Mytilus edulis: one gene and its partner. Each later gene encodes a partner of the first gene's protein in a complex. Links are inferred from orthologs where the notes say so. Each region holds a gene or a part of one and is shown on either strand. Other genes may lie near its edges. The genes, in order: signal peptidase complex subunit 2-like and signal peptidase complex subunit 1-like.

Region 1 (8,214 bases):
TATGGTGCTCTACAGATTGATCTCTGAAACTAAAAACTAACCTGTTCTGATTCGTTCTACAATTACAAAAGTTCAAATGAATAAATAACATTCCTTAAAAGCCATATTATCAAACCATATATATATCTTTATTAGGATGGAGTTTTTTTTCTTGGTATAAAATGAGATGAGGGGTTTACACTGGCTGAGACAGCATTGAACCCTATCATAAAATGCTAATATACTCTTGGTTAATATACTGTTTCAACATACAGCAGTTGCACATATCCATACAAATATGGTAAGCACTTAATTTGTTCCAGGTCTAAAAATGTAGTAACTATTAAATGTCAGCACAGTCATATACTAAAATATATTTTCTATCACTCAAGATTCATTGAAATAAAATTTAAACAAAATTTGTTCACCTGTAATCCCTGTATTTTCAATTAAAAAATACTGAACCACATATTTTTTTGATGTGGCCTTAAGGTCCAACCGTTAATTATATGGGGACGAAGTCCACAATTATGGTAGAAAAGTCAATAAAAAAAAAATTTAAAAAAATCGGGGAAAATTTCCAGAATTTTTCATTCTACTTATGAACTCAAATCGTTAACTTTCTTTTTCAGATCTACTTCCTGTTCCGGTTTTCCCTGCATTTGCGCAAAAAAATCTACTTTCCTTTCCGGTCTTGTTTGAATAAGACTTGGAATAAAATATATATTTATCAGTCTAGTAAAACATAAGATTGGAACTCAATACAAATTCATTATTAATAATTGTTTGATATGAAAAAAATGTTACCTGTTGAAAGCGTTTCTTTTGTTTACATTTAATATGATGTCATAACTTAAAGAATGTTACAGCTAAATCCCTTACAACAGAACCAAACTCGGAACGTACGGTGTTTCCGTTTCTTTTATTAACATGTTTGAATTTAAATAAAAATAAAAATACAGACTTCGTCCCCATTCACAGGTTATGCCTGCCTCATATTATAAAATAAAGCTATAACAGCTGTACATGTATACCAGAAGAAGAAGAAGACTCAAATTATAAGGAGCATGATGTATTCTTCGCAATGGCAAAAAATCATTCATTATATATAGGAAAAAAGGTTACAGCACATAGTTAATGCATCAAAAACAGAACGGTGTAACTTTTAACAGAAGTGCAACCTCCTGATTCATGTAACATACATTGTAAGCTGAAAAGTAAAATCAATCATGCAAACTCCACCTGTTAAAATTACCCTCAGGAACTGATCAGCTAGAACCTTATTTGGGCTGATTCAGTGGGGACAGAAATGTTCATCCCACTTTATAATAAGAAACTTATGAAAATTGAATTGAACTGTACCCTTGGAAGGGCTGTGAAACTGTATCTCAACTTTTTGTTACATTTTTTGGATAATTTGCAGACCGATTTGACTACATGTAGATGATGATGAAACAATGTGATGATTTTACCAGAATTCCAGTTCCACAGCTACATGTTCCAATAACACCATTTTTTTCATCGTTTAATATTGTCAAAAGGACAAAAAAAACAACCTTTCATCGATCCCTAGATCAGCCCTGACTGGAAATTGTTATTTGTTTATCTGATCAGTTTTAAATGAGATTTGAAAGATTCTCATCACTACAGTAGACTAGCTCTATTGGCTGTTGAACAACTTGATCATAGACAGCAATCATACCAGTGTTCTCCCCAGGATTTTTTTAAGGCGCAAAATTCAAGGGCGCGTAACTCCTTTTTTGTAGTGAACTTTTGTGATCTGAATCAATCAGTCATAAATCATAACATGCAATATTGCTTTGTGTTGTGTGTTTAATAATGCAGAGAATAAATGAATTTATACAAGAAATGAATAATATACTATATTTATGAAATAAATTGATTTTAAACACAAAAGTTATTTATATTCAGTCAATTAAAGAAGTCAAAATATAAATATTCATCTCTGTACTCTCTGCTACTTCTAGGGATATTGTTTCAAGATAGTGTTATTTTGTTTATTTGTTGATTGTCACATAATATGTTCCAGACGCACGGACTCACGATCGATGTTCAATGATCATTTTATTTCTAAAAATATGACAGTTTGAAACGAATTTACCTTGCAAGCAACATTTTTCACTTTCAATTAAAATAAATTACTTCTCGTTATCTTTAATTAAAGTTTATTTTAATTTTTTCAACAACAAATACTCTCGTTCATAATTTTCATCGTAAATATCTTTAGCAATGTGTATTCAAATCTATAACGTGTATTGAACACGTTCATTGGTCGTGTTTCAATAGATTCTTCTTCTCGACCAATGCAAAAAATTCGTTATATAAATGGTCAAGTAAACACACACACGATGCTTAAATACAATGTATTTGCGATCTATTTCTTCAATTTCTGCACTGAAGATTTTAATTTTTTTAATTTTCTTCTGAAAATATCTATCTTCTTGATGATCATTTACGCTATTACATGATAAGTTAACATAGTCCAATACGGCTGAGATAAGTGTGGCTCAGGTAAAACTATATTATCAGATATTGCGTAACACTGACCGACCTCTCTTCTTCTTCCAGCGGTGATCAGCAACTTGACAATTTTAACCAACATTTATAATGAAAATGTGAAAATTAACACGCTGCGGGATCAAGTAGTAAAAGCGGCCAATTAAGACGCTGCTGGATTAACAAAAATATTATGAAGGCGCTGCGGCACCGCACCGTCATATCGGCCTGGGGAGAACACTGATACCACCACATCATTTATATATATTTAGCTTTAATACACCTTATCGCTAATCCCGGCTGACCAGGCCGCTTGAACCTTTGACGTCAACAACAATCACTTTTCCATTGTGGCGTCAGATATTTTGTTTTATGACGTCAAAATTTTACGGGAACCTGTGTGATTTCTAGCAATGGCGGACAAATAGCGATAAGGTGTATTTTGCACAGGCACTTGTTTCTATCCATACGAAGGTCGACTATCCATATAAATAGATGTATATGTATAGTCGACCTTCGTATGGATAGAAACAAGTGCCTGTGGTATTTTGCTATAAAGGCAATATTTTCCGCATATGGAAAGTGATTTCCCGAATTTCAACGCAATACCATTGTTCAAACAGGCATGCAACTTGAAAAACAGATTTTGAAAATGTTTTGTGTGTTGTTTAAATTACAAAATTTCTCATCATTGCTAAAGAAAAATTACTTTGTCCATCAAGCCGGTCTTTTTTGAAGCCATCTCAAAAATGAAACAGGAAGTACACGTATAGAAGGAGACTAATCGAAAACCAAATAGTGTATACTTAATATTAAATAATATACTATCAACTCTATTTTGGTGGTCATATTTATAATAATAATTAGACTCTCATGTTAATTAACTAAGAATATTTGGAGACAAAGTAATATGTAATTTATAAAAAATAGTTAGAGATTATTAAAAAGGTAACCGGAAGTTGTGGTAAATTCCATAGAGAAATTTATTTTGGAGAACAGATTAGAAGATAGGTATGGTTTTTTGAAAGTTTCATCTTTATGGGAAAAGAAAATGTGATAGACGTAACGTAAAGGCATAAAGTAAAGATAATTCTGCTAAGTTTGAAATTTGTTTTAGGTATTCTTATATGAAACAAGCGTTCTGTCTTCTGAATATACCAATTTACAGGCAATAATGCTCTTGTTGATTCATGAGTGGATTTATTGATACAATAAACTTTGGTTTTATAACTATTCCCCAAACGGTTGCACTATTTTCCAAAGAATTTCAATTATTTCAGATTATTGAATCAAAATCTGTGTTGATGATCAGATCATATATACATTGATCAGCTTCTGTTAAGCCTCGGTCACACCTTATGGGATAGCAGGAACGGAACCAAACAGATGAAAATGAAAGTTTTCAGTTGAAAAAATTATTATCCGTTGGGAGTCTGTTGATGTACTGACAAAATAAAACGGACGTATCGAATGCATTATGGACACACACAGATATTCAATGTACGAGAAACGGAAATGTACCGGACAGAACGGATGTCAAATGTACATCCAACGGACGAGTACCACATAAAAATGACACCTTAGGGAAGCGTACCGGATAAAACGGATGAACAAGATATACAGAAAAATTAAAAGCGACAATAATAAAACATGTAAATCATAATATGAGGCAGGCATTACCTGTAAATGGGGACGAAGTCTGTATGAATTATTTTTTTGTAACTTACATTTATATATTTGTTAAGAAAAAGAAACGGAAATACCGTAACGTTTCCGATTTTGGTTCTTTTGTTAGGGATTTTAGTTGTGACGTTATTTAAGTTATGACGTCATATGCAATGTAAACAAAGAAACGCTATCATCAGGTAACGTTTTTTCATATCAAGGAATTATTAAAAATGAAATTGGTATTGCGCATTCCTTCCTATTTTATACTAGACTGATAAATATATATTTTACTCAAAGTTTCATACAAACGAGACCGGAAAAAGGAAGTACATTGTACATTTCTGCGCAGGTCCGGGATTTCAAAACATGACATAAAAAAAATTGAACGATTTTGAGTTCATTAGTACAATGAAAAATTCGGGAAATTTTCCCGATTTTTTTTTTATTGAATTTTCTACTGTTATTGGGGACTTCGTCCCCATATAAATATTCAAAATTGATCTGTGTATATAAAAAAGAAGATGTGGTATGATTGCCAATGAGACAACTATCCACAAGAGACCAAAATGACACAGACTTTAACAACTATAGGTCACCGTATGGCCTTCAACAACTGTGTAACTGGTTTTGGTTTTTTCTTCAAAAAAGTGTTTGGCCTGAATAAGAGCTGCTTGAATGTGAAGACGTGCTTTTACTCTTATTGCCCTCTAAGATCTATTATGAATAATAAGAATTCATGAACCTTAAGAAATCTATTTGGCATTTCTGACGCAGCATTTTCAATTGGCATTTATCCGTTTCGGATCCGTTCAGTATCCGTTGTACGTCCATTCAAAGTTGTGAACATACTCAAAATTTTCCACCAGACAGAACGGAGTTGACGGATAAAACGTACGCTAAACGGAAATGCAACTGATATGGACGGACGTCTAACGAATAAGAACAGACATGAACGATTTGAAAAAAAGTTATCTGTTAAGGTGTGACTGAGGCTTAAGAGAAAAGCCAAAGAATCTGGGTCTGTTTGGGCCCATTCACTTTCGCACCCTACACATTCCTGCCCAAATTTTTTATTGGTTTTGTGTTTAGTGACTTTGTTATCAAGTTTTGGCAAGTGTATTCCTATTAGTTAATTTGTTGTCATTGTCTCAAAGTAAAGTAAACCAACGTTTTTTTTGTGTTGAATAAATCTTAATCAAGTTTTGGATAGTGTATTGTAAAAAAAAATTAATCAGTTTCTAAATAAAGTGAGATTCTGTCAACAATTTTTTGTTGTTGTGTTGAATAAATCTTAATCATGTTTTGGTAAGTGTATTGCTACATGTATAACATTTTTTAATTATTTCAAAATAAAGTGAGATTCTGCGTTTTTTTTTATGTTTGTTGAATACATTTTAATCATGTTTTGATTTGTGTATTGCTATAATTTTTTTGTTTCATTGTTTCAGATCAAAGGAGCCAAACTGTTAAAAACAATTATCTTTTGTGTTTTTCATTTAAAATTAAAAAAAATTTACTCAGACCAAGCTTTATGCAGTATTTTACATGAAAGTAATTTAAAACAACAATTATGATTTTCTAATTATTCAACAAGAATTTGCTTTAAGATTGGGAGCGAACGAATAAATGAACCTTGGGTGCGAAAGTGTATTGGGCACGAACAGACCTAATACCAAAGAAAAAGGAATCCATCTTATTGCTATTTGAAAATCTGTCCCGCTTTACTCAAAAATCTGTTCGCTTGAATTTTTGACGTCATACAACAATAACTTTTCTTTTGGGGCGTCAAATATTTTCTATTATGATTATGACTTAAAAAAAAATCAGCATTTTTTGTGATGTCCATGGCCAATAATGCCTATGGGCAGACAAATAGCAATAAGGTGTATTGTCTTTTTTACCACCATTACTGGCCATGGACATCTAAAATAATACCATAATATTTTGACATCACAATACATGTATCAGATTATATCTGATGCCACAATGGAAAAGTGATTGTCGTTATACAGACTTTTCAAGCTTTTATTCTACATTCCTTCACATTTTTGAGATGATTTTTTATTATGTTAGTTTACACTAATGGGTTACAGATCAAGTTTAAGTTTGATTCCGCATAGCTGATTTTTGCTGAAATTACTGCATGTTTTACAGGTTAATTTGTGAAAATTATCAACTTTTTGTTAACAAATTTCCACACCTAAAAATGGCTTCACAAATGTAACAACATGCAATGTAACACCTTATAAGTAATCAACATGTAAATGTACATAGACATAAAAGTTGAAAAGAAACAGCATGGAAATCCTAATAATATCAGTACTAGGCATACATAAAGTAACATATGCATAGACATTGTAAACAGTATGTGTAAAGTTGTCTTTTTTTTCATTTCAGGGAAACTATTTGTTCAGTCATGAGTGAACAATTGAAGTTCATCACTCAGGAACTGAAAAAAGAACCATTCAGTAAGACCTACAACTTGATATCGTTTGATTCTCTTGAACCACTTCAGCTGTTACAAGTTCTCAATGATATCATTGCTGTCATTGATCCAAAGGTAATGAAATAATAACTGAATATAAATGGAAAACAAACCTTAACTTATAAATATAAATCAATTACAAACGAAAGTGAACCAACGCCTGGTGAGTCTGTAGTACGGTAGAGTCCATAAAGTGGATACCCGAGGGTATGCAGGGTCGTTATAAATATAAAATCCACTGCTCCTTTACATGAATTTTTCATACAATGTGCATGTAGTACAGTTAAAAAAAACAGTTTTTCCCTTGTGTAAATTGACTTTTTCACAAACTAAGGCATGGAGATATTTGGTTTAAAAGTTTTCCTCTTTCCAACAAATATAAAAATCAGTTTGCAGTATTGTTGTCATGTCTATTATAACCCTTCTTCTCTATTTTATCATGTTTATATAATTTCCAATGCAATAAATGAACACATCCAAATAAAAACTTAAATAGTTTTATAATATTTATTTTGATTTAACCAAAGTTAACAGTAATTCAAATTTTTTTTTTTTTTAGCAAAAGCTAGATATAAGAGAAGAAAGTCCAGATCAAACAGCAATACGAATTTTCACTACTCTTCGTGTGCTGAAGTACAAGCCTCCGAATGAGTAAGTAGAATGAAAGTTTGGAATCTGAGAGATCCACTCAGAGAAAGTATTAATACAAAGAAAAGACATTTTTGTAAAACAAGTCAGTTATATTTTATTTCTATTTACATTGTCTTTTAATTGTTTCTTATGTTGGGTTACTGTCTCATTGACATATACCCACACCTTCCTTTATTCATAAAACCATAAATGTTAATTGCATTCTTTAAAGCTGAAATTAAACCACATTGATTGAGGGGAATGTAGCATTAAAATCAAAGTATGTGCAGAAATCACATTTAGTACTAGACATTATTTACTTTATTTTATGTCTTGAGCAGTTGATTAAGGCCCCCCCATTAAGCATTTAGCTTTAAAGTGAAACAGATGTTGATATATGAATATAAATAATTAATATATTATTATTTTTTTTATAATAGTGATGTGTAAGTATTTTTTGTTAATTTTTGCTGTGATGTAGAAATCTGCTAGTTGTTTTATCTAACTAATAAATCAATGCATGTAGTGTTTTCCCAGTTACAAGAACTTCATAAGTTACTGTCTTAAAGAACCCAAGTAGTTTCATTATAAAAATAATATCAAAAGGTTTTTAACATTTTAGAAAAAAATAAAAATTTACAAAAACATATTATGGAGGTGATAAGGAAGCTCTTGATCCTACTATTTACTAAGATTACCACTTTTAAATGAAAATTTTTTTTTCAATTACTTCACTTGTTGTTACAATTTTTTGACATAACAGAAAGACCACTTTTGAGTAAGTAGAATACATCTATGAAGTATTTTTCTTTGCATTAACTGACTTGATATTTTGTTTTGTAGTTTATTTTGAAATATATGAATGAAATAACTTGCTATTTGATTGACATCTTTTTCTGACAGTTTATAAATTGTAACACACGAATGGGAAAACA
Region 2 (7,506 bases), on another chromosome or scaffold:
AGGAAACCCAGGTCCATGTGGGGCTGGGGCGACTGTTTTAATACCAAACAGCACAGAACATGTGGAGTTAACACAGCCAGTTTCTAATAGAGGATCTATTTTATTAGGGGAATTAGTAGCTATCAAGCTGGTAACAGATTTTCTTATTATTCCAAACAACAGAATCCATCAAAATTTTTTCAGACAGCCCATCAGCAATTGGAATTCGAACTTTAAATTGGAAATCAGTTAATTACGGCAAAACTATTCATGATCATGATGATATTAAAATTGGTATTTTGGTACTAAAATCTAAAGAAATCATTACTTCCATTGAATGGACCCCTGGACACGCTGAAAAACAAGGTAATGAACTAGCAGACCAACTAGCTAAAAAAGTATCACAGGAGGCAGAAAAAATAGAAAGCATTCCAATATTTACAAACAACAAGATATACAAAAAGAAACAAGACAGTGTAATGGTAAAATGGCAAAACCGATCGGACAACAGTGATAATGGAAGAAGATATTATTTCTTTCATCAAAATGTAAAAAATACACTTCCAAAAGACAATCTTCAACTGAAATGTATCGGATATCAACAAGTTCAAGAACAGGATATTGTAAATTAAACTCGTACAAATCAATGATATGCCCAGCACTCAACGACAAATGCAGCTGTGGACAAAAAGAAACAGTTGACCATTATTTACTGTATTGTGAAAATTAATAGGAGGCTAGAGAGAAACTCTGCTCTGCACTCTACTTCATAACATCAAAACTAACACTTGAATCAGAAGTATTATTAGCAACAACAGAAAATGAAAATTACAAACATCATATAGAAGATATTCAAAATTTGTTAGGGGTCTTTATTAAAGATACTGGAAGGTTCACAAAATAGATAGTTAAGGTTTTATAAGGGTTAAATATTTATTATGGGGACGAACTCCCCTATTACAGTAGAAAATTCAATAAAAAAAAAAAAAATCGGGAAATTTCCCGAATTTTTCATTGTACTAATGAAACTCAAAATCGTTCAATTTTTTTTTGTCGTGTTTTTTAATTTCCGGATCTGCGCAGAACACATAACTCTACTTCCTTCTTCCGGTCTTGTTGTCGTGAGACTTTGATTAGTCTAGTAAAATATAGGAACTCAAGGAACACAATACCAATATTTCATTTCTAATCATTCTTTGTCTTTGGTATGAATAAACGTTAGGCCTACCTGATGCATTGCGTTTCTTTGTTTAAATTGAACAGGACGTCATAACTTAAATAACGTCACAAGTAAAATCCCTAACAACAGAACCAAAATCGGAAACGTTACGGTATTTCCGTATCTTTTTTTTAACAAATATTTACAATACAAAAAAAATAATTTAAACAAACTTCGTCCCCATTCACAGGTAATGCCTGCCTCATATTAATTTATATATTTTTATTTTATTTAATTATTTATTTATTTATCTAATTAATTTTCTCTGCAGTGCCACATCATAAATACAAACATATTAATGAGTTTTATACAATAGCGACATAAAACTACCAGTGTGATCTAAATACAGAGAGATTATAGTGTCAAGTTGACACTCACTAAAGACTTGAAATGTTGAAATAAATGCATGCTTGAAGCAAGTTTTATTCTGTCCTTGAAATACCAACAAATAGAAAACATGTACAATTTCTTGAACTACTTTTATTTTAACCACAAGCATTGCTAAGGAGAACTGATTACTATCGAGAACAGATGACTAAACGATACTCATGGTGGTAAAATATGTTTGTTATAAATGCCTCAAATTTTACAATTTTGAAAGTTTTTATATGAGTGCATAGAACAAAACAAAGGTTGTTTATTAATATCTTAAGACAATAAAAAGCATATATCATTTTCAAAAAGTCCAATTTTATTTTTAATCTTCATTAATGATTTGGCAGAATATATTGAACACAGTACATTAAGATTGTTTGCAGATGACAGCATTATTTATAGGGAAATTAAAAAAACAGATGACACATTTAAATTACAGTCTGACTTAGAAGCGGCCGGCAGGTGGGAGCAGGACTGGCTCATGCATTTTCACCCTGATAAGTGCAACATTCTCAGTGTAACCCAAAAACGCAAACCTTTAGACTTTACCTATAAATTACACAATCACTCTTTAGAAAAAGTTGACTCTACAAAATATTTAGGCCTAACTCTTCAATCAAATTTAAAATGGGACAAACATATAGATAACATGACATCAAAAGCAAACCAGTCCCTTGGATTTATTCGTAGAAACCTAAAAATAGCATCACCGAAAGTTAAAGCTCATGCATATAAAGCTCTTGTCCGACCAAAATTAGAGTACTGCTCAACAATTTGGGACCCACATCAAAAACAACAAACTCTACAAATTGAAAAGGTTCAGAGAAGAGCAGCACGCTTCTCATGCAACCGCTTCCATAACAACAGCTCAGTTACTGAAATGATGACAGACCTAAATTGGTACCTACTCGAAATTAGGCGCTTACGATACAGACTTGTTTTCTTTTACAAAATTATTCATGAAATTGTTGCAGTTCCTACACATAATCTTTTGATCCCACTTGACAATAGAACCAGACATAGCAATCCACACTCATTTAGGCAAATACAAACATCTAAAGACAGTTATAAATATTCATTTTATCCTCGAACAGTTATAAATTGGAATCATCTGCCACAACAAATAGTATCATGCAGTACAGTAGAGGGATTCAAGAGTATGATCTCAGAATCTGCTCTCATCCCCATATTCTATCCCTAACTATTCTGTTATCAAATGTATATAGTTTTATCAAAATTTATTTTTTCAAATGTACATACGTTATGTTGATTTTTTGATTTTGTTATTTTTGATTTTTTGTTGCTAAATTAGTGTAAATTATAAATTTTATAGTCGACGCCCGGCGAATAATCTTCAATAATTGAAGGATCGCTAGAAACCTAAAGAAGAAGAAGAAGAAGTCGGTAAAGGGCAAACAGCTGTTCAAACTTCAAGACTGCAGCACTGCCAGCAGATAAAAAAGATTTCCGGCATCCATACTATAGCATTTTAAATAATTTTAATTACCATATGCAGAGGGACTTTCTTAAATGCTTCTGGGAGAAATCTCTCGAGATCCATTGTGTTGGCTGTATCGTGAAAAAGTCTGATTTTAGATTTACTTTCCTACAGGAAGTTGTCGTGTCAAAAATAATTACGGAGTTATCGTTCCTAATACGAAAACTTTGGTCCAAGTTAGGAAACAGAACTCGATTTCCGTAATCTACAGCTGTTTCGTTAAGGTGGCAGAAACCAGTTATTTTACAATAAATCTTTAGAATTTCATGGATTTATGATTTTATTTTCTTGAAAATTCATTCAAACTTATATACAAATAAAATGTATGGTTTCAAGGAACTAAGATGTGTGCGTGCTTATGTTAATATATAGAAAACCTTTAAATTTGGGTGTCTGTCCAGCATGGAAATTTAAAAATTTATAAATGCATTGCAAATAAGGCAAAAAATGTGATGCTCTGATACCAATCTAATCCTCACCTGCAAAATCCTGCTAAAAGCCGACAAGAATTTTAGCCAAAATTCAAGAGAGAAAGGATATTCAGTGAATTAGAGCCTTGTCCGAACCTATCCTTACCATCAAAATCTCAAGATATTTTTGTTTACATAAAACTGAATTTTTCCCCCACTTTGATTGGATGCCGTCAAGTGAGGAGACCACAATTTTGACATCTGATTGGACCTATATGTGAAGGAAATCCCCAACCTGTGTATGCAACTACTTACTTGTGTAGTACAATAGCCTAGAATTTACATTCATTTATTTTTTTAGTCCACATGATGCAATTATATACCTCAATACTGAACTATAACAAAATTTCTGCGTGGGACACATGTTCTGGTACACCAAAACTGGTACCTGCCACCTAAGTGTGTTGATGATGCAGATCCTCTGCCTCCATCGCAACGTCCTAGAGGGAAAGGGGGTACAGCTATTTGCTATAAGAACAATATTGCTCATGCTATAGAGGAACAACAAGATGGTAGCAGTCGAGTCACAGTAGTTAAACTAAACTGTAGGACTAAACCTTCTTCTTCTTCTATAAGGTCAACAAGGCTTCAATACTGAAGAATACATGTTGTTGCGCATGCGTGATTGACAAAAATTTATACAAAATTTATAAAAATATTTTATAACAGTTGGAGTGTTTGTATTTACAGATTGTGATTAAAAATATATGTACATGTTTTGTTTGAAATTGTTTATTTGAAGCTAGAGAGAACAGCTGGTGTTAGCTGATATCTAAAGCTGTCAACAGTGGTGGTTTCAATTACAGTTTGTGGTAATAAATTCCATTGAATAATTGTTCTCGGGAAGTATGACCATTTGTATGTGTCCTTGGAAGTTTGGATGTGTCTGTATGTCTGAGTATGATTTTATCTTGTTCTGCTGTCTGTTTGTTCAAGAATATGCGATGGAATGGCAACAAGACAATGTATTACTTTATAAAATAAAATAAGTCTGGTTTTTAAGCGTCTCTCAGCTAGTGGTGGCCATTTCAACTGATTTAGCATGTTTGTGACACTGCTCGTGTAATCGTAGTTGTTGTGTACATAACGAGCAGCACGCCTCTGTACCTTTTCTAATTGTATCTGTTGTTCTTTCATATGGGGGTCCCAGACACTACAACTATATTCCAGTTTGGGTCTTACTAGTGCCTGGTATGCTCTTGATTTTGTTTCTGTGTTTGTAATTTTTAAATTTCTTTTTAGAAAACCAAGTGATCTGTTCCCATTTGATACTATGTTGTCTATGTGTTTGTTCCACTTTAGATTTGATTGTAATGTAATGCCTAAATATTTTGCTGATGTAACTGATTCGAGAATGTGATTGTGGAGGATGTAATTATGCCGGTAGTTATTTTTCTTTTGAGAGATGGAAAGGTTTGTACATTTATCAGGGTGAAATGCCATAAGCCAATCTGACTCCCATCGAGCTGCTGAGTCAAGGTCGAGTTGTAGCTTATGACAATCATCTTGTGTTTTTATTTCCCTGTAAATTATGCTGTCATCAGCAAAGAGTCTAAGTTTACTGTGTTCTAGATATTCCGGTAAGTCATTTATATAGATAAGAAACAGTATTGGGCCCAATACTGTTCCTTGTGGTACACCAGATGTTACGGGTACTGAGGTGGAGGAAATGCCATTAATGACTACCGTTTGTGTTCTGTCCTGTAAAAATGCCTGAATCCAATTTAGTGTGTTATTTTCAATACCATAGAATTTGAGTAATTATTGGTGTAGTATATGCCGTGTAGCGGTTCGAAAAATGCAGATGATGAGTTCAAAGCTGTTTTAGAGGAAATAGGGGAAATAATATATAAATTCAAGCCTACCTGTGATATAATAATAGCTGGTGATGTAAATGCCTCAATAATGAAGGAAAATTTGAGTCGGAGAGACAAGTTGTTTTTAGATTTTATCCATGAATTTGAACTTCATATACCAGAAAGTAATGAATGTGACACTTATTTTCACCATAGTGGGAAATGCTCGTCAAGAATTGACTATATATTACAAAGTAACCACCATATCATTAATCAGTTTGTGAACCTGGAAAGAGACTATATGAACACTTCACAACACGATCCTGTCATGGCTCTTGTCAAAGTTACAGCTAAGGAATGTGCAAAACCAAATAAGCAAAAATCTCGCCCTCGAAAGAGATACTGGCCTGATGAAATCAAAAAGGCATGTTGTGAAAATAAACACCATTTTTGGAAGTGGAAGATGGCTGGTCGTCCAAGAGACCAGGAGAACATTCATTTTAGAAACATGAAGAATGGAAAACGCAAACTTAGGTCAACTCAGAGGCAACTAGAAGCGGTAGCCAGAAAACAAAAGTTTGAAAATATAATGACAGCTAGGGAAGGTGACCAAAAACTATTCTTTAAGTTAGTAAATGATCAACGAAGAACTGGTATGGAAAAAACAACACAACTGAAATTTAACGGAATGGTATCTATGACAACCCTGACTCAATAAGGAAAGGGTGGGCTGAGTACTTTGAGGAACTAGCAACACCTTCAAGCTCTAACTACGAAGATGCTCTATATAACAACCAAGTAGAGTTAGACTGTCTCTTGTTTGAAGATACATATATTTCAAATCTCGAAAATAGTGAAAAAATTTCTGTAACTGAAGAGCAGGTTGAAAAGGTGATTAACACTTTAAAGAGCGGTAAAGCAGCCGATTGTGCAAACTTGACAAGTGAACATTTAAAGAACGGAGGCCAAATAGTAATTTCAGCAGTAACAAAACTAATCAATATGATATTTCATGTATGCTCAATTCCAGATCTACTCAAACTTGGTATAGCAACGCCAGTTTTTAAGCGAAAAGGGAAACCACTAGATGACCCCAACTCTTATAGGAAAATAACTGTAACCAGTATTCTAAACAAAATACTAGAAACATTATATTTAGAAAAGAAAGATGAAACACTCAAAAATGCACAGAGCCCACTACAACGGGATTTCACTAAGGGTATATCTGGACTAAACGCAGCTCTGATACTTAATGAACTAATTGCGGAGGCGCAGGACATGCACAGGCCATTATATGTTGCCTTTCTTGACGCCCAGAAGGCTTTCGACTTAGTTTGGCACAGCTCATTACTACGAAAGCTACATCAAAGTGGTATTGAAAGTGACTCATGGCTGATGTTCAAAGAATGGTATAAAGATTTAACATCTCAAATCAAATGGGAAGGTGAACTATCAAAGGTATTCTCTGAGCATCAAGGGGTACGTCAAGGTGGTGTTACCTCCCCTGCAGCATATAAACTTTTTATTAACCCAATGTTGGACCATATAGAGACTCAGAATCTAGGAAGTTATGTTGGACCAATTTATTGTGGCACACCAACAGTAGCAGATGATGTGTGTCTGGTGTCAAACAACCCGGAGGATCTGCAAGCAATGCTTGACATACAAGGGGATTATGCAAACAAAAATCATCTGTGGTTCAATTTAATGACAAACAACCTAGGAAATTCACCATGAACTCAGAAGAGATTCCAACATCACAATCTGCTGTGCATCTGGGTATAGAAAGAGATAATTCATCAAAGTTTGGCACAAAGAATGTTAGCAACGCAAGGATCAGTGCTGCTAGAAAGGCAACATATGCGCTAATGGGAGCTGGCCTCCACGGTCTGAACGGTTTAAACCCCACTGTATCCATCCATATCATCCGTATATTTATAATTCCAAGACTTATACATGGACTTGAAGTAGTTAGATTAATGATTAGTGATATAAAAGCTCTGTCATCTTATTTCAAACAACTATTAAAACGTATTCAGCATCTACCAGAAAGAACAGCTGACTCAGCAACTTATCTTTTGTCTGGCCAGATGCCAATAGAAGCAGAAATTGATAAAAGAACATTAACTTTATTCGGAAATATTATAAGAAATCCAAATACAGTGGAGT

What was found.
Region 2: signal peptidase complex subunit 2-like (region 1) and signal peptidase complex subunit 1-like share a complex: the UniProt entries of both Caenorhabditis elegans proteins name them as parts of the signal peptidase complex. The link is inferred for Mytilus edulis from reciprocal best matches to the Caenorhabditis elegans genes spcs-2 and spcs-1.

What each region holds. Positions count from the first base shown.
Region 1 is NC_092346.1:86,978,095-86,986,308, reverse strand, and holds the start of signal peptidase complex subunit 2-like, read right to left. Parts: upstream 3,287-8,214; 5' UTR 3,239-3,286; coding exon 3,206-3,238; exon of another isoform or gene 3,189-3,205; coding exon of another isoform or gene 3,174-3,188; intron 1-3,173. Other genes in the region: intraflagellar transport protein 81 homolog, read left to right, coding at 6,581-6,724, 7,209-7,300. UniProt on the Caenorhabditis elegans protein: Component of the signal peptidase complex (SPC) which catalyzes the cleavage of N-terminal signal sequences from nascent proteins as they are translocated into the lumen of the endoplasmic reticulum.
Region 2 is NC_092356.1:70,170,794-70,178,299, reverse strand, and holds the start of signal peptidase complex subunit 1-like, read right to left. Parts: upstream 3,241-7,506; 5' UTR 3,135-3,240; coding exon 3,081-3,134; intron 1-3,080. UniProt on the Caenorhabditis elegans protein: Component of the signal peptidase complex (SPC) which catalyzes the cleavage of N-terminal signal sequences from nascent proteins as they are translocated into the lumen of the endoplasmic reticulum. Dispensable for SPC enzymatic activity.